2 linked regions of the Lepisosteus oculatus genome follow. The main gene of each other region encodes a partner of the protein of the gene in region 2 in a complex. Links are inferred from orthologs where the notes say so. Each region holds a gene or a part of one and is shown on either strand. Other genes may lie near its edges.

What was found. Proteins that work in one complex are often made in the same cells at the same time.
Region 1: the proteins of eif2b4 (region 2) and eukaryotic translation initiation factor 2 subunit 1 are in contact, whole or in part, in a cryo-EM structure (PDB 6O81), measured with the Homo sapiens proteins. The link is inferred for Lepisosteus oculatus from reciprocal best matches to the Homo sapiens genes EIF2B4 and EIF2S1. Residues at the interface, in NP_001029288.1 of Homo sapiens: Asn245, Glu246, Glu247, Arg250, Thr285, Ser520, Ser521, Asp522; in NP_004085.1 of Homo sapiens: Met30, Tyr33, Met45, Arg55, Arg57, Arg75, Glu79, Lys80, Tyr82.

The regions. Positions count from the first base shown.
Region 1 is NC_090703.1:26,160,298-26,171,046, reverse strand, and holds the start of eukaryotic translation initiation factor 2 subunit 1, read right to left. Parts: upstream 4,732-10,749; 5' UTR 4,553-4,731; intron 1,012-4,552; 5' UTR 1,011-1,011; coding exon 770-1,010; intron 1-769. Other genes in the region: atp6v1d (V-type proton ATPase subunit D), read left to right, coding at 5,834-5,874. UniProt on the Homo sapiens protein: Member of the eIF2 complex that functions in the early steps of protein synthesis by forming a ternary complex with GTP and initiator tRNA. This complex binds to a 40S ribosomal subunit, followed by mRNA binding to form a 43S pre-initiation complex (43S PIC).
Region 2 is NC_090697.1:17,195,882-17,206,791, forward strand, and holds the start of eif2b4 (translation initiation factor eIF2B subunit delta), read right to left. Parts: upstream 4,919-10,910; 5' UTR 4,858-4,918; coding exon 4,797-4,857; intron 3,165-4,796; coding exon 3,124-3,164; intron 2,777-3,123; coding exon 2,617-2,776; intron 1,096-2,616; coding exon 901-1,095; intron 458-900; coding exon 375-457; intron 1-374. UniProt on the Homo sapiens protein: Acts as a component of the translation initiation factor 2B (eIF2B) complex, which catalyzes the exchange of GDP for GTP on eukaryotic initiation factor 2 (eIF2) gamma subunit.

The DNA of each region.
Region 1 (10,749 bases), on a different chromosome or scaffold from region 2:
ATTGGATTTGACTTCTTTGCTCACAAATCCGATTTGTTCAATTATGTGATTGAAGCGCAAGATGGAATGACCTTTCAACCTTTTACTCTGTTAAACCGTTTCTCCCCCCAAAATCTTTTCATTGTTTTTCAATATTAACTATTACCTTAGTCATTACAACTCTCCCATAAAAACTTCATCATGCAGCTTTATTGGTTGCACTGGAAAAGTAAAACATTTGAGACATCTACCACACTACTCAAAATGAAGGCCATGAAGCTAAAAATGTCTCCAGAACATGGGTGAACCAAAAATCCTGAAAATCAGGGTTTAGAACTAGGGTTCCCAGTCCAGCTGGCTGTAACTCCACTGTCAGGTAGTTTTTGTTTCAGCAGAACACATAATTAATCACTGACCCAAACGTATATAATAACCAAATTAAGATGTTTTAATCGTTTGCAGCCATAAAACTTGTAATTTAGAGATGTTGTTATACCTGTACTAATTAACTAACTTTTTATGATTTAAAAATTAAAAAGGCCTAATCAGTCATATTAGTTCCACGAAGCTGGTTAGAGTCCAGGTGAAAAGAAACCATTCAAAACACAGATTCAAATCAACCACACATGGGAAGAAACTGGACTATAATTTACTGCCTTTGTAACATCATGGCTCTCTACTGAATTGATCGATTTGGCAAAATTCCCTCAAGGACAAGCAGAGAGAGGTCACTGCTTCACAGGCCAGCTCTTGCCTAGATTCTCAGGCAACACTTGCTTGTGCTACTCACCTTTCTCCTTGTCCACCCTGATGACCACCACGCACTCGTTGCGGCCGATGCGGATGAGTTTGTTTATGGAGCGTATTCGTCTCCGAGAGAGCTCGCTCAGCAGGATCATACCCTCGATATTGTTGTACTCCAGCAGGCTGACATAGGCACCCATCTCTGCGATGGAGCGTACGTTCACCATTACCACATCCTCCACTTCCGGGAACTTGTGCTGGTAAAATCTACAGCTGAGCCCCGGCATGCTGGCAACAGAAAAGGCACATCCCATGGCATGACACACACACAGGAAAGGCAGGGAAAGACAGCTCTAGTGCATAGACTTTCAAACTAGATAACTTGTACCTTTATACACTGATGTAGGTCAGCACAAAATCGCAAGCCTTTGCTCAACAGCATACGTATTTCAGCCATACAGTGAAAAGCATAATTACTGGGACAGTGAAGTGAAATTTGTCATATATGCGAATGATTTTAAATTACTAATGAAATATGAATTTCAGATCAAAAGATTAATATAAGGTAAAGTACAGAATTCCAGTCTTTGTTTCTGGGAACACTTTTGCACACAATACTAAAAAAATGTCAGTTGTTGTGTTTAAATCCCCCATTTCAGATGAGCACAAATATTAGAACAAATGTTTCTAATTGCTCAAGTGAAGACACAAAAATTGTGAATGTATAGCCTTGGTTCTAGTCTTTGGGTGTTTACTTTTTCAGTCTGCCCCTTGAGTTAGAAACATTAATCAAGATGATGACTAGACAGTTGTCTATGATGAAAAACCAAGTAAGAAAATGAAAGCAAAGAAAATTCCAATTAGAGCCACTGCAGAGAAACTGGGCATCACAAAATCAATTATAGAATGTGCTGAAAAGGAAGAAAGTACTAGAGGTGTAAGCATTTGGCAAATACCAGGTACTTCAAGGAAGATGACAACAATTGATACAAAAATCATTAGAGCTGTAAAGAAAACCCCTACAATAACAGCCAAAGAGATTACAGACAATCTCCAGAGTGCAGAGGTGAAAGTATTTCAATTCATTGTGTTGTGACAGGAGAATTACAAGAGATAAACTGCAAGATTCAAAACTCTTAAGCCTTTTTTAGTCTTATCAGCACTAAGAACAAAAAGGCCAGGTTATAATCTGCAAAGAAGTACAAAGATGAGCCACAACAGCTCTGGAAAAAAAGTTTCATGGATAGATGAGATGAACATAAACCTCTATCAAAGTGATGGAAAGACAAAAGAGGGGAAAAGGAGAGGAACTGCACATGATCCTAAGCACACCACCTCATCAGTAAAACATACTGGAGTTAGTGTCATGGCTTTTGCATACAAGGCTACCTCCAGATCTAGCTGACTGGTCTTTCTTAAGGATATAACTAATGGTAACAGCAGAATGAATTCTGAAGTGTGTGGAAATATCTTGTCTATGTCCAAAAAATGCTCTAAAACTCAGTGGATGGCAATTCAACCTGCAACAAGACAATGGCCCAAAATATACTGCACACTTAGCCAAGGCAGTAGGGTTCATCAGGAAGAAGAAGTGGAAACTTCTGAGCTGGCAAAGCATCTCAAAGGAAAATATCAAGTCTGGTGATGTTGTTGGGTTGCAGACTTGAAGCAGTTATCACTTGTAAGGGGTAATTAACTCAAAGTTAATTTGTCTCAATACTTTTGCTGACAAAACAAATCAGGAGGGACTGACCATAAAACCATTTTTTTTAAACATGTATGCACAAAAATATCCCAATATAAAAGCTTGCATTCTGTTTAAGCTGCCTTATGTTCATCTTTAAATCTGAAATACAATTTGGAAAAGTATGCAGCAAAAGCGACACATTTTACTTCACTCTATATTTGTTATACCACAAACCTGTGAAGGATTGAACTGAGTGTTCTAAAAAGAACTGTAATTCTATGGGACTGGCTTTGTAATGAAAAACAGTGTTAAATATTATCAAATTTAAATAAGGAAATTTAATAAATTAATTAAAATCAATTTTCTTTAGATTATAGTAGTCAGTTTCTAAAGCACTGAATCATGTGTATACTACATGAACCCTGTTGCTATAGTATACTGTAAGAAAAGAAAAATAAAGCTATTAGTAGTTTTGGATGAAATCTTAGTGAAGTAGTCCAAGTCTTATTGTTCCAGAAACTATTCAGAAACAATACATCTGAAGGATTTCAATTGCTATATACGCAGACCTTATAGAAGCATTCAAAAGTGCTTTGGTTGCTCTAATTGTACATTGTGATGTTTCACATTAAAGCAGCAGGGACATCAAATAGAATTCAATTTGAAACAAAAGATCACTTACAACCAATACCAGAAACGTGTGATAATGTCTTTACGAATAGCTAAATAGCTGCAGGGGAGATGAAAACTCAGCCAAACAAAAAGTACAAATACTCTAACCACAAAATGAAATCTATCTTGAAAGATAACCACAAAATGAGATCTAATATCTAGAAAGATAAATAAAATACAGTTGCAGATACTGTGAAGATCTTGACTCCTAACTAACCATCTTGTAGCGTGATCTCATGAGATTTCAGAAGCTGATCAAGAGTTGGCCCTGATCAGTAATAGGATAGGAGACCTCCCAAACAAAACAGGTTGTGTTGGTGGATTAGAATTTGAAAACTGATGCCTCAGTATGGTGACCAAGACCACTCTGCTGTATAAGATGTATCCCTTAGATTAGATATTACACTTAGGTGTAAACTACTTGGTCATTAAAATCCCATGGCACCGGCTCTGGTGGCTTGGCTAAATTCACTTCTGGGCCTGTGCAATTCAGCCTACCTAAAGTTATCACTTAATTAATTTGATGACACAATTTCTGTTCTGTTATGGGGCTGCTGGCACATAATAGCAACCTAACATCACACAGCCAAACTCACCATGTAATATTTTCTTTTTCTGATGTGTTTTATAACTTTACTAATTTTAACACGATTTATAACTGTTTTTGCGTATCAGCCAGCTCCCAGAAAGAGTAAGACGACTATCTCGCATGAGAAGTGGTATAGGGCAGGTTTTCATGTGGTAAATACATGTGGTAATACAAGAATGGTCTGAAGAGCAAATGATTTGGGCACAAGAGCGTGCCATATAAATATATAAGAGGGGGTATTGAATAAAGCCACCACTAGTCTAGGATGACCTTTTTAATAATGGGCATTACTGCTTCAATCGCATGTCCCGAAAGACTATCGTGAAAAATTAAGGAGACTTGGGATAATCACTTCACCAGAACACGACCGACTGTGCATATTCCTGCCTTTTTCGTAAACTGAAATTTTCAGTCAATGGTGAAAGAATCGGTCAATTTCAGTTCCTGTCATTTTAATTTCCCAATACACTGAGACCACTTTACAATATCGTATATATACAGTTGAATTTTGAAGGCATGTGGCGACTTCTGCAACTCTTCTCAGAAGAATGGTATCGTTACGCACTTCTGTTAGTTTTTTATATGACTTCTTGAGTAAATCTGGCACATAAACTGCATCTTTGTAACATTTTGAGGCACTTTTCCCAAAGCAAATTACTACAACGCTCTAACGAAGACAGGTTGTGTGACCAGACCGCTGAGATTCGTAACAACATTAGATGGTGAATGACTGTCCCGAATAAACCTCTGGCCAAAAAGCTAGTTTATTATCAGCCACATCTGTATCAGTTTCTACAGTAACATCACATGTAGCAAGACTACTCTCCCCCTCCACCCAATTCATTCATTTTCTGAACCAAGGGATTAAAAAGCGACACTACCTTTATTCTTGATAGAGATCCAAACTCCGTAATGTTGAATAATTCACCTACGTTTGAGTATTTCTCCTCTCGACAAAGTTACGCAGAAAAAAATGTATTTTCTAGTTAAACGCTGAGAACGGCCTAAACCTTAAGCGCAGTTAGTTTCCTCAGCATGGACGCACAAACACGTAAACCCTGACCCGGAAAAGGAAACTATGAAAAGGGAATCGGCTTCGCAAGTTTTGTGACGGTGACACCTAGTGGAGGTGAAAGTTGCTGTTCTTATGCACGAGAATAAGAAAAGTACATCTGTTACCAAAACCTAAAATACAACAAAACTGTCTCGATGATGTAGACACATTTGTTATATAGAATATATATATATATATTTGTTTTTCTCCGTTTCAATTCTCAGGAAAATTTGTTTTTCTTTTGTCAGTGGTTGAAAGAATACACTGATGCAGACGATTACTCACACATTTATGATCGATAGAAAAAGCATATTTTTGAATTATACGAGCAAATAATTGAAATTAGCATCCAATAGTATGAAAGACCACTGGAGCTTTTCTACGTTTGAGAACTGTAGCTAACGAGCGAAAAACACAGAGCTTGAAAACCGCTCATAAACCCTCATAAAACGATTTTTTAAAATCTAAGGAATTTAGAAATTTCGTTTTTATGTTTCATTAAAAGCTTCAAGCATGGCAAAATTAATAATACAATTTTTGCGGCATTATTCGAGAAATTATTTAATTAATAAAACAAGACAAGTACTTAAAATAAATAATACTATTCAAAAGGTTTTTTTTTTATTTATGCATAAGAGATTAACAAAAATTACAATACAAACAAAAGTACATATAACAGTTCAAGACAAAAAGATCGTCAGGGGTAGATACTACTACATAAATTCAAGTTATGTAAAAAGATTAAACAAATTAAATAAAAATAATGTTTTCATATATATTTTTTTACTTTCATATTTTTGCTACTATTCAAAAGGTACAACTTCTGTCCTTCGGTTCTTACTGACATGTCGTTGGTTCTGACGTACCCAGTTTTACCTTTGACCTTCGCCACCTCTGTCACATGACGTTTACCCAGCTGATTCGCCTCTGACTGACACTGTTGACCAGGGAGATTTCCAGTTTGCTTTTTCCCGAAAGCTATTGAATAGGGAAATCATTATAAGGAAGGACGTCTTAATAAAGAACAGTTTTCCTAGGATAAATTCTATTGCAATAAAAGTATACTGAACCTAGGCAAATCAAAGACGCGTCGCTTGCATCCAACAACATGTCAGGCAAGGACAGGATCGAAATTTTCCCATCCAGAATGTGAGTATAATTATTCTTGCAACATCCAGTTCGTTTCTGCAACGCATAACGAATAATATAACAGCACAACGACAGAAGCATTCCAGACGTTATATTAAGCTTAATTTGTACATTTGTCAAATCAATTTGTTCCGAAAGTTGGAACAAATTGTTCCTGACAGGACGCAACTGCCTTTTTTGAATCGAGTGTGTAAAAAGCTTTACTTATATATTTTTAAGTTTTGTTTTTAAAGATAGATGATTATGGTGTGATATGTCCTCAATGACATATTTAATATTCTTTGAAGTTTTTAGTAATGTTACATTAATTTGACATATATTTAAAAATACATATTTACAAAAATGTGAAGCGAGTGTATAGGTAGTATATCTGTGTGTAGGGTAACGTGACTCAAAAAGTTGTTCTAAATGAGGAAGGATTATTGTGCGACAGGCCCTAGATCATGTGAGAAAGAACAGCTAATTTTTTCAACAGAGCTCTGCTCTCTCTGTGTGATGTCTGGAATTTATCTCAGTCAATACAAAACTAATATTTTCCCAGCTCAGGATGGTTTTAGAACAAGCACTGTAACGTCTGCATGTGTGTGATATTTTAAAGGTTTTTTTTTTGTCTTAGTGGTTGATGAATGTTTTTTTCCACAGAAACACACATATCATTTGCGTCGTTAGAAAAGTTTAACTCTTTATAGTGCAGGCCTTTTATTTGCTACCAAGGCAGCAGAATCTTTACTTTCTGTAGATAATTTAGCAATGCTGGGCAGTCTGGATGAAAGCATTCCAGTAATACAGTTACAGAGACGCTTTGTGTCTAGTAGTCTTAATAAAAACATAAGAGAGGGATGCTGATGAGAAGAAACCTAACAAGAAAACCTTATTTATACCTATTAGGATCTTCTAAAATTGAATAATTCTCCTCTCATTTTCCTTTGTCCTAGACTGAAAAGATTTAACCTTGAGCCTTTGAAAAATTATTGTTTCTCCATTGAACTATTTTTACATTTGTATAGATGTACAATATCATTGTTTGGTATTGTGGCCAGAACTGAACATAGTATTATAAAGTGAGTTTTTACTTGTACATTGTAAAGCATAAGCATAACTTCCCTGGAGTTAAGTTAAACACTTCTATATACTGAAGCATTCGGTTTCTTTTTATTTGATTCACCATATTGTCTTGATGAGGACATTAAAACAGAAAACAGGATGCTATGGATTCAATATGGTGAGGCCTAGTCAATTTTTTGGTTTTGAGCAATCTTAACCCCTGTTGAACCTCAGTTTCAGACATGTTAAAATTACCCTAAAACTAATGTTTTGTTTAGCAGTGGATGTGTTATTGAAATCTTTAACTGTAAAAGCTTGCATGAAATATTCATTTAGCATGGTTACTATTTCATTATCATCTTCTATTAATCCACTGTTATTTCTTAAGCTATTATAAATTATTCTTTCACTGCTGCAGTACAGGAAAAAATGCTCTACTATAATTATTTGTGTCTAGTGAAGTACAGTATTCTTTTAAGTCTACTTCTAAGCAATAGTAATACAATTTTTCAGATGTGGCTCAGTATGCTCTTTTTCCATTTTAATTTTGGTATTTTACACTGTAGAGCTCTCTCTAGAGTGCTCCTTTTTTCTTAATATCTTCTTTAAACAACTTAGGCCACATTTACATAGACATGGACTTTTTTAAGCACCAATTTGATTTTGGCCTTTAGTGTTAATAATAATAATAATAATAATAATAATAATAATTGCTTACACTTATATAGCGCTTTTCTGGACACTCCACTCAAAGTGCTTTACAGGTAATGGGGACTCCCCTCCACCACCACCAATGTGCAGCATCCACCTCGATGATGCCACGGCAGCCATAGTGCGCCAGAACGCTCACCACACATCAGGTATCAGTGGGGAGGAGAGCAGAGTAATGTAGCCAATTCATAGATGGGGATTATTAGGAGGCCATGATTGGTAAAGGCCAATGGGAAAATTTGGCCAGGATGCCGGGGTTACACCCCTACTCTTTTCGAGAAACGCCCTGGGATTTTTAATGACCACAGAGAGTCAGGACCTCGGTTTTACATCTCATCCGAAGGACGGATGATGTGTTGTGTCCTGTGTGGTGTTGAGCTAGGCCATGGTTGAAATATGCTCTATTTTACTTTGTTTTTCAGTTACTTACTAGGTAATGTGAACTAGAATACCCTAGAAAAAATACTGCTGTACTTTGACAAAAGGCCATTGCGAATCTCAATGCAACAGGCAGAATCCACATTTCCTGAACATTACTGTCCAGACTGCAGCACCACATTGTGTCCTAAGCCAAAGAGTCATGGGGACTCTACCTCTACATGAGTAATCTAACCATGGTCATTTTTGACAGTGCTGTATGTTTCCAGAATAAGTGAGTGACAGGTCTTTGTTGTTATAGTCACCCTAAAAAAATCACCCTAAGGTACCCATATACAGTGGATATAAAAAGTCTACGCACCCTTATTGAAATTACAGGTTTTTGTGGTGTAAAGCCAGAAATCAAGATAAATCATGTCAGAGAATTTTCCATATTTAATGTGACCTTGAAACCAACAAAATTCAAGAGAAAAACAAATAGATAATTATTAGGAAAAATAATTGAAATTAAAAAAACCTACAACACCCTGGTTCCATGAGTGTGCACACCATTTTATAGTGGGTGCTGTAGCTGTTCAGAGTTAACCAATCACATTCAAAATCATGTCCAAAGGTAAGTAGCATACACATGCCATCAATGAAAGTGATTCTGATTAACCCCAAATAAAAATCAGAATTTCCTGTAGGATTTCCTTGAAACTTTCATGGTTGCATCCTCCTGGGATAGCCATGGTCCACAAGGAGCTGACAATCAAAGGCATTGGATGTACCATGGAGCACTGTGAAGACTATCATCAATAAGTGGAGAAAATGTGTCACACAGGGACGTTGCCAAGATCAGGACAACCCTTAATATATGCGTTTTCTGTTGTCAGCGATCTCTTGGGCTCCATGCAATATAATCTGTACAGTCGTCACTGGGCAGGAATGTGTTAAATACCAGGCTGAGCTATGAAAATCTTACCCATAACAGTCAAAGGAGTTTTCTGTGCACAATACCTTTCAGCCCCAGTGACAACCAGCCAGCACTCAATGTCTTGTCACAGCACAATCCAGCCAACTCCAGATTCCAACATACTGTAACAGCTTTTGTGCTTTCACAGTTGTCTTAATAAAGTTAAAGTTTTGCAGAGAGATTTAAAGCTATTTTTACAGATATAATTCATTGTAATGTTTTCTTTAAAACCTTCTTAAATGTACTACATTTTGTTAAGAATAGGTTGGCAGTTTACTCGTTCATAACACTCTGTAACATCAGTAGACATATTGTTTTTCCTGAAGCAAAATTTGTATATAATTAACATTACTGACAAAATAAGAGTTGAGATCAGAAGTATTTAATAATAATAATAATAATAATAATAATAATAATAATAATAATAATAATAAAACCTTATTTTATATAAGCGCCTTTAAAGGTGGCTTCTCAAAGAGCTTTACAGGATGACAACAACAATAAATAAGAAGAATACACAATTACAATATAAAGAGGAGACTGTGGATGGTGGTACTAAGAAAAGCAGAGGGGTGAAGAATGAAACCAGTTAAGTAAAGGCATTTCTGAAGAAGAGGGTTTCGAGTCTGGATTTTGAAGGAGTTTAGAGAAGGTGACTCTCTGATATCCTTTGGGAGAGAGTTCCAGAGCTTGGGGCATAACAGGACAAGCCCCTGTCACCCATACAATGTAGAAGGGCTTGGGGGACAGTAAGGAGAGAAGAATTAGATGAGCGAAGGTTGCGAGGTGGAGAGTAGGGCGATAATAGTTCAGACAGGTACTGAGGTGCCAAGCCATGCAGAGCCTTATAGGTGAGCATGAGGATTTTAAAGTCTACATGGAATTTGACCAGAAGCCAGTGCAAGGATTCCAGGATAGGAGTAATGTGAACACTTGCACTAGACCTGGTTAGGATTCTGGCTGCTGAATATTGGACATACTGCTGTTTGTTCAGAGTAGATTAAGATACCCCAGCGAATAGAGCATTACAGTAGTCAATTCAAGAGAACACAAATGTGTTGATCAGCTTTTCAGCCACAGTTAGTGATAGCATAGGGCGTAGTCTAGCGAAATTTCTGAGGTGAAAAAAAGATGTTTTGACAGTATGCTGCACATGTGGGTCGAATGTTAAGCCAGAATCTAATATAACCCCAAGGTTTTTCAATTTTGATTCAAGCTCAAGTACAGAACCATCTACAGATAGGGTTACAGGACTGGCTTTACGAAGCTGATGGAGGGTGCCAATAAGCATGACTTCGGTCTTGTCGCAGTTAAGATGAAGAAAGTTTTGAGTCTTTCAAATTTTTATGTCAGAGGTGAAATTAGATAAAATAGAGACAGCCAAATCAGTGTCAGTCTGGAACACCAGACTTAACAAGACCAATTTCAGACCTGTACCCATTGAGAAAGACAAAGTGACAGCGATCAGTGAGGTAAGATTTGAGCCATTTGAAAGCAGTGTCAGAAACTCCAAACACAGTCTCAAGACGAGAAAGTAAGATGTTATGGTCAACAGTGTCAAAAGCAGCTTGTTTTTTGTCTCTACCTCATCAGATTCTTTTTGGTGAGTACAAGTAGAATATTCTCACTGGGCTTCATGAATGTAAAATGGTTTGGGTCAAACCACAATCAGTTCTACTGCTGGATGAAGGTCTTCTTTATAATGAAATAGATCATGAGACCCCACTGGCCATACAGGTTAGACAGCTGGAACTGCTAGAGGTTCCAGCCTCTCTACTTTTCCAAAT
Region 2 (10,910 bases):
TTTCTGCATTCTTCAGGAGCACATCAGCTGAACCTTCAGTACAAATACATCATCTATCATTTCTTAAGTACTTCTATTTCATCCTGTTAAAATATCTTATTATGCTAACATTTATAGTCCATGTAGCATAATGTAGCTTGGGTATGTAGCAAACCCAGTCTAATCTGAAATTGGCTAGATGCTCCTAACTACTAGAAGATGAAACTAGGATGCAATTATTTGAGTAACTGGAGATTTTTTATTTGTTTCTTTAACCCAGGACTTAGGTAAGCCCCAGAACTCAGGTACTATCACGCTGCATAACAGCAGTCTTCCCGATGCCTCACGCACCCAGCTGAAAACAGACATTGCAGTATTTTTCCCCACTTTTTCACCTGTTGCCTTTCCAATTTCTTGGCCAGCTTCTTCAGCACTGCAGGATCATCCACTTGAATGTGCTCTGGAAGCCGCTTCACAACTACAGTGAAGGAGAGGGAAAACCAAAGTTTGCAGTAGGACTTCCAAACTCTAATCAAAAGACTGTTGATATCATTCATCCAATGCCAAACCAATTCATCCCACAGCCCCAGCTGTACAGTAATACCACAGAGACAATGTTTCTATAATCTTCTTTACCTCAACAAGAAATTGATTAATTTTTAAGAGATCACTCCATTTATGAAAGGTATGCGAGTCAGACATACTATTATGTAAAGAAACAGCTACTTTTAGTACTTAATATATAACTACATAAGACACATGTGGGTAAACAGACAAATACACATTAATATATACGCCCTGATATGTTTTCATAAAAAAAAACAATTGGATACATGATCAGCACAAACTCGCTTTTCACAAGAACACTGTGTTTACACTCCTAAACAGAGCAGCAAATCTAGGCTTTTAACAGAGCTGTACCTGGCTGTGGTTCACTGGGAAGAGCCTTAGGCTTGGCAGTAGAAGGGGGCTGACCGGGGTCTTTTTTGCCTGTTTTGGCAGCTCGGTCCGCTTCCTGCCGGGCTCTTCTCTCTGCGCGCAGCTCTGCTTTGCTCTTGGCTGGGGCAGACTTCTCTACTCCTGCTGGGGCCTCAGACACCGAGCCTAACTGGGGGGCTTAAAAACAAAGCAATATCCACCGCTGGTTCAAAAAGCAAACACTGGTCAGGGGTTCACAGCTGTGTCGTCAAACAATGGGCTACTTTCACAAAAGCCACTCCAATGTATTTGACAAAAAAAGTAAGAATAAAAAACAATATCACAGCCTAAACGCACAGAATTTTAATTGGATTGTTCAGTCATGAAGTAAGAAGTAGAAACAGAACATGATATTTTATTCTGGATTTGGTTGACATTCCAATAGTTAAGTAAACTTGGTTCATTTTAAATACATTTTTTTTTTTAAAACGTTGATGCTAGACAAACACACAGTGCCTGATCTACCCACCCACACTCTTGTACGTCTTGGGGAATTGGTCCTCACACTGATTGCTTTCTCATTCAATAACTTTTTTTATCAGCAGGAAGGGACCCAGCTATTTAAATATTGCTGTCGACTGGGTAAAAGAATGCGTCTTCACTTGCCTACATTGGCTTTGTCCCTGACCTCTACAGGTGATACATCGATGACTGCGTCGGTGCTGCCACATGCTCCAGTGACCAATTAGAGTACTTTCTGAATCAATTCACCAACTTCCACCCATCCCTCAAAGATAAAAAGCACTGTGAAAACAGTATTTTGACCCTGAGCCGTGTAACCAGTGAGTACCGCCACGCGAGGGTGCCCCTCAAATACTCGCGCACTTGAAGTCCACACGTGCACTACGTCACAGAAGTGCGGACTTGGAGGAAGTGCTTAGAGCTCCGTACGAGAATTGGGACACGACATAAGCATTTCTGAATGTCTTTTGCAGCTTCTACAGGGTTTACTCATCATCTTACTTTGGAATTACATGCAAATTTGATGAATTTGTTAGCCAGAATCTAGATCATTGATATCAATTAGCACTAAGTGTTGACCAAATCCCAGTGGTTCTCCACAAAATACATCACCCCAGTCAGAACATTTCCTCTTATGTTTCCCCTCAGTTTCCTGTTCATTAACTAATTCTTAATCCAAGTATATTTATTACCTTGAATCCTTGTCATCTACAATCTAAGAATTAATCTTATGATAGACTTTAAAAACCTAATTAGAAATATTGTATGCTCTGTCTGTATTCATTGCCGCTGTTGGACATTCAAAGACCTCTAATCTATGCTGACTGTCCAGGTGATCCTTTAGCGTAGCCCTAATATTCCATGTAAAAGAAGTAAGACTAGATTATCGGTCTATAATTACTAGCTTCAATTTTATCACTGTTTTTACACGTAGGCGCTAAATTAGCAACTTTTCATTCCGGGGGTATTACCCCAGATTTGAGAGAAGGCAGGAAGAGGTTTGTTAATGGCCTATAAATTACATGAATTGTTATGTAACAAATAAGGTTCTGGTGGTACAGGAACACTGCAATGATTAAAATGGCAGCAAGTCAAAGTCCTCTTTTAGAATGAAAAGTTCTGAACCCCTGCATGTCCCTAATAGGATGGTGGAAACCCTACTCTTCTGTCAATGTTAAGTGCACTCGCAGCCCCTACCTTTCTGTGTCTGGGTCTGCTGTCCAATGGCAGGAACAACTGCTTTCTTCTCTTTCTCATTGTCTGCAGAACCCTTGTCCTCCTTCTTGTTTTTCTTCTGCTGCTTCTTCTCTTTTCGCAGCCGTTGCTTCTCCTCCTTGGACAGCTCCTTGCCCTCAGCCTGAGAGTAGCAGGTGAAACCGATTGTAAAAGAGCAGACATTCAGTTCTGTCGTGAACGGAGCTTGCCAGGCGGGACTGCTGCTGCTGATTCACTAAAATATCTCAGGAAAAAGCCCTTAGAATGCTGAGCTAACAAGAAGAATACACAATACAAACTGGTTCCCCTTCTCCATTCCACAACTGTTATTGAAACTGTTTCATAGAAGTCTTATCATTCTGTAGAACTTCATTGATATCATTTCTGCAGCAGTTGTCGCTAACCAAATACCAGCCACATGCTGCAATGAAATGGTTATTATTTTCAGAAATCAAAAGGTATGGAAAATTATGTCACTAACATACTTACTTTGCAGATTAATAAATCTTTTTTCTTTGGGTCACTTTCATCTGTAAAAAAAAAGAAGAAAATTAATAACAGCAGCACTTTTAACACAAGATCTTTATATCAACTGTAGATGTGAATTCACAATGCTTTAAGGTGGCAGAATACTGTAAAGGATTGTGAATAGACAGCATCACCTTAGTATTCATGATGCATCACTTGTCCCATCCACAAAAAATATGGTTCATAGCACAGCTGCTATAGAGGGTTAATTGCCCCTCATGGCAAGAAAACAACGGGAGTCTCTCCAGTAGAGACATTTGCATGTCGAGCCCTTTGGTCTTATTGTCATAATTTGAGCCTGGGTTGTGTCACTTGCCCAATGGTTCTTAATGGTAGTTCTGAAGGCAAACTTTCGGTGCGGATCCTAATTCCAGCTGAGCTCTACATCACTAAATTTGTTATGTAATTGATCTACTTGATTGTTAGGAATTTTATTTAACTTGCTTCTTCAGTCAGTCCTGAATGACAAACTATTTCTAACAGCTACAGCATAGAGAACCTTATGCAGACTCTACTCAAAATGACCACATAAAAGCTGCCTATACAGCTCTTATAGTTCACCAATTGATGATAAACAGACACAAGTAGGAATGATACTCTATCAGACAATCTGTGTATTTTTTTTTCAACCTTGAAGAGGCAGAAAAACAACCCAGTAGAAAACTGAACTCAATTAGCCTGTGATTTAGAACTTGCCTGAAGACAAAATTAGACACCAGAGGTTTTTTCCAGGATCAGGATTGTAAAACACTGCACTAGCCCACTGTGACTGGGATTTCACAAGCAGCAGCACTCAGCCAATCAAGCACCTCCACCTGGGAAACCCCAGTCACAGTGGGCTACTGCCGACTGTTAAAACACACCATTACTCCAAATCTCACTCCTCTTTGTTTTGGAAAAAAAAAACATAACTTCCTCTTCATACAGTCTTCGGAGATATCACTTAAACCTAAACTTTCTTTTTATAGGCAATAAAATAGGGAGTATTTTATAGGCACACAACCACTAATAAAAATGCTCTGATACAAGACAAAGGGTCCATACTTGAATACTGAAACATCAAGACAGTTGAAAAAGTGGTGGTTTTTACTCAAATAATTCTAAACAGGGAGGTCAAGCAAGACAAATCAGGGCTCCTCAAGATATCTCAGATGCCTTGAATACAGAAACTTTCAAGTCTTCTAAACGGTAATTTAATTACCTCACTTTTCTGGTAGGGGATTCTCTTTATACATGTACCTAAATGCCTGCCAGACATGGAAATTTCTGTATCTGATGCAATGCACATGAAACGTGACACACGCTTCGGCTCCTGCATGTATTTTACTATAAACGTACAACTGAATTAACAAAAATGTTGCACTCCACTAACTAATAGTAGCAACACTGCAGCAGCAGATCTATATCCTCAGTTTCTAATGTAAGAAAATTCTGTACATGACAAAACGTACAGTTAAGAGTGTGGTGTAACAACAGTGCAGACCTGACCATCCATATATCGGCATACACACAGGCCAATCTTCTATCGCCCTAGCTAAAAACAAACTCCATCTGGATCAAAACAAAGCTATTGTTACAGGCTGAGAAACCGGCTCACTGTTCTTATGGCGATCGAACAATTTCCAGGACCTTACCTTGCAACGCTGGGGTACTATCATTCCGTTGCACCTGGCCTCTCTCTCCTAAATCAGCCATGTTCAGCAACTAGAACGGTACAATTTGACACTCGATCCCATCATTCCGTTCTCCTCCCATGATTCAGTGCATTTGAACAACACAGGAGGTCCGCTGGAGGACCCGAGTGACGTCAGAGGTATTCCGGTTAAGGATTGTAGCAGTGAGCTAATTCGCCAACCGAATTAAATTTATTTCTGATGAAAAAGTACTAATGTAACTAACCTATTACTAACAACAAACATTTTGTAATCTAAATGTTATAAAAAAGGAAAAATCGCCTTAAGCGCTTTTACATTTTCTCTCCATTCATCACAGACTAATTCAAAAATGTTTGTAGTCTTCGCTTTTGTTTTCCCGTAACGGTACTGTAAATGTTATGCAAATTAAAATTTAGATGGGATCAAAATAACATTTATAGGACAAGCAAGTGACTGCAATGATAAATTATTTTTAATTTCTCCCCACCCCCCACGGCAAAATTTATTAATGGTTAATTTTTTTGGACATTACGAGATTAAAACTATGTGTGGCGCTGTGCAATAGAACCGAAAGCCGGAGTATGTTTCTTGTCCAACCTCAAACGCATCGCATTACTCCGTTAGATATTTTAGAGATGTTTTGTACTTAAGTATTTTAAATTATACTCACATCAGAATTACAATGCATTGCCCTAATGCCCCACTATAAAGTGTGCGCATAGATATAATAATAATAAAATAATAATAATAATAATAATAATTGCTCATACTTATATAGCCCTTATATTTTCTGGACTCTCCACTCAAAGCGGTTTACAGGTAATGGGGACTCCCCTCCACCACCACCACCAATGTGCAGCCCCTGTATCATCAGTGATATGCATGTATCATATTCGAACTTGAATGTAAAAAATGCAAAAGGATATTGAACACCAAGAATCAAAAATCGTACTGTACTTTTTAAATCCTTCTCAAAAACATAATTACCTTTTTGCAGTCAAACGTATTTATTACGTACATATGTATTGTACTGTATATAAAAAATAGTTGGTTTTAAAAGCGTGCTAAAATGTTCCTGAAAAAACATGCATTGTTACAATAACTGGAAATTAGAGCTGCATTATAGAGTGTAATCACTGTTTCTTAAACTAATGTGTTTTTTACACTTTTTTTTTACACTAGTGGGTGTCTTTTGCTTAATATTCTTTAGTTGGTATAGAAATTCTAATGTTTCATTATATTGTCATTGGTTACAATCCAGCTCCTGGGCCCTAGGTTTGATTTTAGCACAGGGTGCCATCTATGTGGAGTCTGCATGCTCTCACCTTGTCCACATTGGTTTTTCTTTGAGTGTTCCGCTTCCTTTCCACCTCCCAATGATGTGCTTGTCAGGATAACTGTTGTCTTTAAATTGTCCCTGCGTGTGTGTGAGAACTGCAATGGACTGTTGTCCCATCCAGGACGTAGTCCACCTTGCAGTATGCTTCTGGGCGTAAGCTATGGTTGCCACAATTCATACTAGGCTTCCTAGGATTGGATGATGGTCACACATTTTCTGCGCAGCAGTATAATGTGGAAACACTGGATGTCTCAGTTCTTGTATTCAAACGAACTGTTTAAAATCAATTTATTGGCCATATGCAATTTCTTGTATTAGGAAATTGTCTTTTCGCATACCCCAGCTTGTTCTCTATGAGACACAAAGCCACACAGACTGGAAGAGAAGCTTGGGGTCAGAGTGCAGGGTCAGCCATTTATACAGCACCCCTGGAACAGCTGCGGTTAAGGGCCTTGCTCAGAGGCCCTACAGAGTAGGATTCCTCTGCCGGCCGCTCCTTAGCCACAGAGCCACCACATGTAGGCCCCGTTAGACGACAACCCACAGATAACAACAAAAGGCTTTATGATCAGCATTAATCTATTCATTAATGTTTTATGAAACATGAAGAATAAAATATCAATGCACATTGCTGCGCTTTACAAACTACTAATGCTAACTTCTAATCTCACAGAGGTAATATTGTGTCTTACTGCTGTCACTATGAAGGTTAAGAAAGATCAACTGTATATAACACAGTAGACATACTGGAAGGTTAATTGGCTTCAGGGAAAATTTGTCCAGGAGTGAGTGTGTGCGTGATTGTGACTATGTATTTCTTGTGACAGACTGGTATCAGATTTAGGGTGTATCCTGCATTACGCCCAATGCTTGCCAGGATAGGCTCTGGCACCCCTTACCCTGTATTCGATAGAGTGGTTAAAAGTGGATCGATGTTGGACATTACATGGATGTCCGTAATGTAACAACTACATGTAAGCAAGACACCCATTCACTGTATATTCTCATAATCCTTTGCTAACCAAATATGTGTAAAATATTGACAATAGAGAACTGTGTGCCAGGAGAACACTGAAGAACACTGCTCACCTCATAGCCAATGTACCTATAAAACAGATGACTGTACTGGAAAGGGTGTGCGTAGGTCATAGATCTTTGTGAAACAGTTTCTATGGGTAACAACACCACCTTGTGGTCCCATATATACAAAACTGTAAGAATTTGCAAATAGTGCCTTAATAAGTAGTTCAAACATACCACTTCCGTTTGGTTTGGGTTGTGGCTGTGGCAGCTTTTCTGTTCACACAAGCAAATGACTCAAGATCTATAAATATTCAAGATGTATTACCAACTCATCAGTAATAATCTTTCTCTTAAAGTGGGTATGTTCAGCTGTATTCCAAAACGCTAAGACTCACAATCACAAGCCATTTAAAAGTGTGATTTGATGCCATTTCACTTTGTTGAATCCTTATTTTGAAAGTCTCTCAATGTGTGCAGTTCTTACTTCAAATTTTAAAATATATCAAGATAGCAGTAACTTCTTAATATTGTTGGAACAGCCTCTGATAAACTTTCAGTGGATTCAGAAGCACTGAAAAAGGGTAATGCACAAAGACATTTTTTCAAAGACAAAAGCTACATAGTTTATTTAGTTATTTTTGTAAAGTATGCTTCCCACCCTGCAAAAGAATCATGGCCATAAGAGTCTAATGTAGCAGAGCTTAAGAAATGCATCAAGTATGAAATGTTAAATATTCTGTTGGCATGTAATGGTTTTTAAACAATTTTGACACTGTACTGAAAGGTTGGCTAGGTGACTACAACCTTAAAGTGAAGCTTGAAAGATGACATATATCTAATCTCTTTTGAGAAACAGTTAATCTACAAAGTGTTACTCCCGACTATTAAAGCCCAGATTTTCCTGTCTGCATCTGTGTTTATGTTTCCTGTGCGGTTTCAATTATGTGACTGAGAAAGTGAAATGTGCGTATAAATAACATGAAGTAAGAGAAATACAATACATTGTATTTTAAGCATAAAGTCTTTGTACAGTATTCATAACATGATGTTCTAAAAAAGCAAGTCTGTTTTTCCAGTTAAATGTTTTTTTTAAATAAATGTAAATAAAATAAAGTTTTTTAGTTTGTTGTTTCAGTTGATTTGAGACATTTTAAGTGGAGAGTTTTATGATAGTGATTTAGAAGCCTTGTCATTAATTATTGATAAATCACTATTTTTAGTACCAATATGAATTTTGATATGTACTGTTATTGCTCTAGTAATACTTTTGTCACCCTGTAATATCTCAGTGCTAAACAGTGGTCTTTATCTGTGGGCTGTGGGCTGTGTCTGCGCAATAACGTACAGCTACGCTCTGCACAATTCCTGTGGGTTTTGTGTAGTTTTCCTGCATAATGTACAGGCATTCTGAACGTGCACAGCAGGCTTTTTAAAACAGGTGCACGATAGAAAATGAAATACTGCAGCATTCCTGCGTGCACATTTGTAATCACTCAGATTACTGCTAAGAGTCCTGCAGGGACAGAACCCAGAGAAATACATCCTACAAGATTGCTGTCAGAAATTAAACTGATGTTCATTTATTACGTATTTTATTTAACAGGCACAAATCCTGGGCACTTTAGGGTATTAGTTGAGTGTGGGTGAATAGGGATGTCCTGTGACAGCAAAATTTTTGGAAGGGATGTCTTTAGCAGCCCATTGTCTGACTCGGCAAGCTTGTAAATTCAACAAAGGAACTAGAGCAGAACCAGTTTTATCATCCCCCCCAAACTGAAAATTATACTCAAAACTCTTCGTCTCTTGTTGGTCATGTTTTTATAAGCTTTTCTTTTTATCAGAATAAAACTTTATTCAGTTTATGATGCCTGCATGAGAGAGGATTTTAGACACAAAATGAAAAACAGTTAAACAGTTTGAAAATTAAACATGTTTAATATATAGTTCATTTACTTTAGTGGTCTAACAGCCTATCATGTTTTGCTTTTCAGGTACTGTATTCATAAACTTATGTTAACATTTATAAATATGGTAAAGGTAAGTTTTGTAGAAACCAAATGATGAAACAGAATACAATGGAAGACATGAAGACAGCACACCTCTGTTTCAGAAGGAGTTGAAGTACACTGATGTCGATACTCATTCCGAAATATAATTGCAAAAATAAATAAAAAATATTCAGTGTTAATCAAAAGTTTATATCATATTCTTTGATCCCTCTTCATTTATTGTTTTCATATATCTCCATGTTTTGAAATAGCTCTGAGAAACGATTATTTTAAGACGTGTCTCTCCTGGCAAAATTAAGCAGTTGTAAAATCCCACAGAAATCCTTTAAAAGGATATTTACTGAAATCTTTCAAAATCCTTTAGAGGTCCTACAAGTTACTGATCAAACCTACAGTGTAGAAATCCTGTAAAAGTGATGGTTTTATCTTTTATGAATCCTGTAAAAATCATAAACAAAAATACATATAAAACCTGAGAAGATCCTGTACATTTATCAACTTGTACTAAAGGGATAAAGGAACGCATTATTGCCCACTTCTGCAGGAATACTATAGTAAAATAAAACGCTTTTGTACAGGACATTTCTCTAAGAAGTATAGACCTTTTCGTTCTGCCGGTTAACGTACTGTACATGCAATCCTTTATACAAACTTCCACGTTATTAAAAGGTGCTCATTTCGCGGGCCTTTGTTCACATTACATTTACATAAAACACACTCTGTCAGATTAGTTTTAAAAAATGATTGATCAGTATATATTGATCAGGGCTGATCTCCGAAGAGATCACTCTTCTGTGCCCCAAACACACAAAGATATACACGGCAAATTCACGGTAGTTAATGAACCTTGTCCAGAAGATGTAACTGGGCATCTGATTCAAGTTCTTTGAATATACATTCACCTAGCTGTTTTTGTATGCAACCGCTGCAGCTATTCAGAGCCTGTGGAGTCTGCAAACGCTTGATCACCTGACCTTTCAGGTTCCGCGAGAACGTACCATGAACCTAAAGGGTGAAAACCTGTTTTATGAATTGTGTTTGAAGTGTGAAAGAGAAGAAATAATTGTATATATCACGAAACATTTAAATGTTTTTCTTTATTCACTATAAATGTTGTATTTATATATTTCAATTAACGAGTTATGCGGAATTAGTTATTTCATAAATCAATTTATATTCCCCCTTTTCCACCAGGATAGTTTAGTCCCGGGGCTCTGTGTTGCAATGTACTTGTGACAGATGCGAATTTCCACTTTTTAAAAGCAAAGATTTGGAGCGTGATAGCAGAAGGAGAATATTTATTAACTCCGCGTGTTTTATGTTTTCTTTTTGTTGTTTGATCCCGCGATGGTGTGATTTCGGAAGAGCGGTTACTCTAAACAGCTACTCCGATGAGGGGAAAAAAATACATGCGTACGTACCATTAACAGTTGAAAGGGGGAATCTGTAAAAAAATATACAAGCTTGTTATGGGTTTAAAGAATGCAAAAAGCAAATAGTATAGTTATTTGAACGCGTTTTACGAAATACACTGTAAATCGCATCTGGAGGTCAATCAAGAGAAACATTTCATCCAGAGACGGAGTTTACAGCACAGTACTTACAAACACCTCTCAGGACGGTGGAATTACCTATCATCGCAACATGGCTGCTGCAGGGATATTAGGGAAAGTTTAGCTACTGACTTGACTTAAGTTTTCATTTTAATTTCTTGAGGCGAAA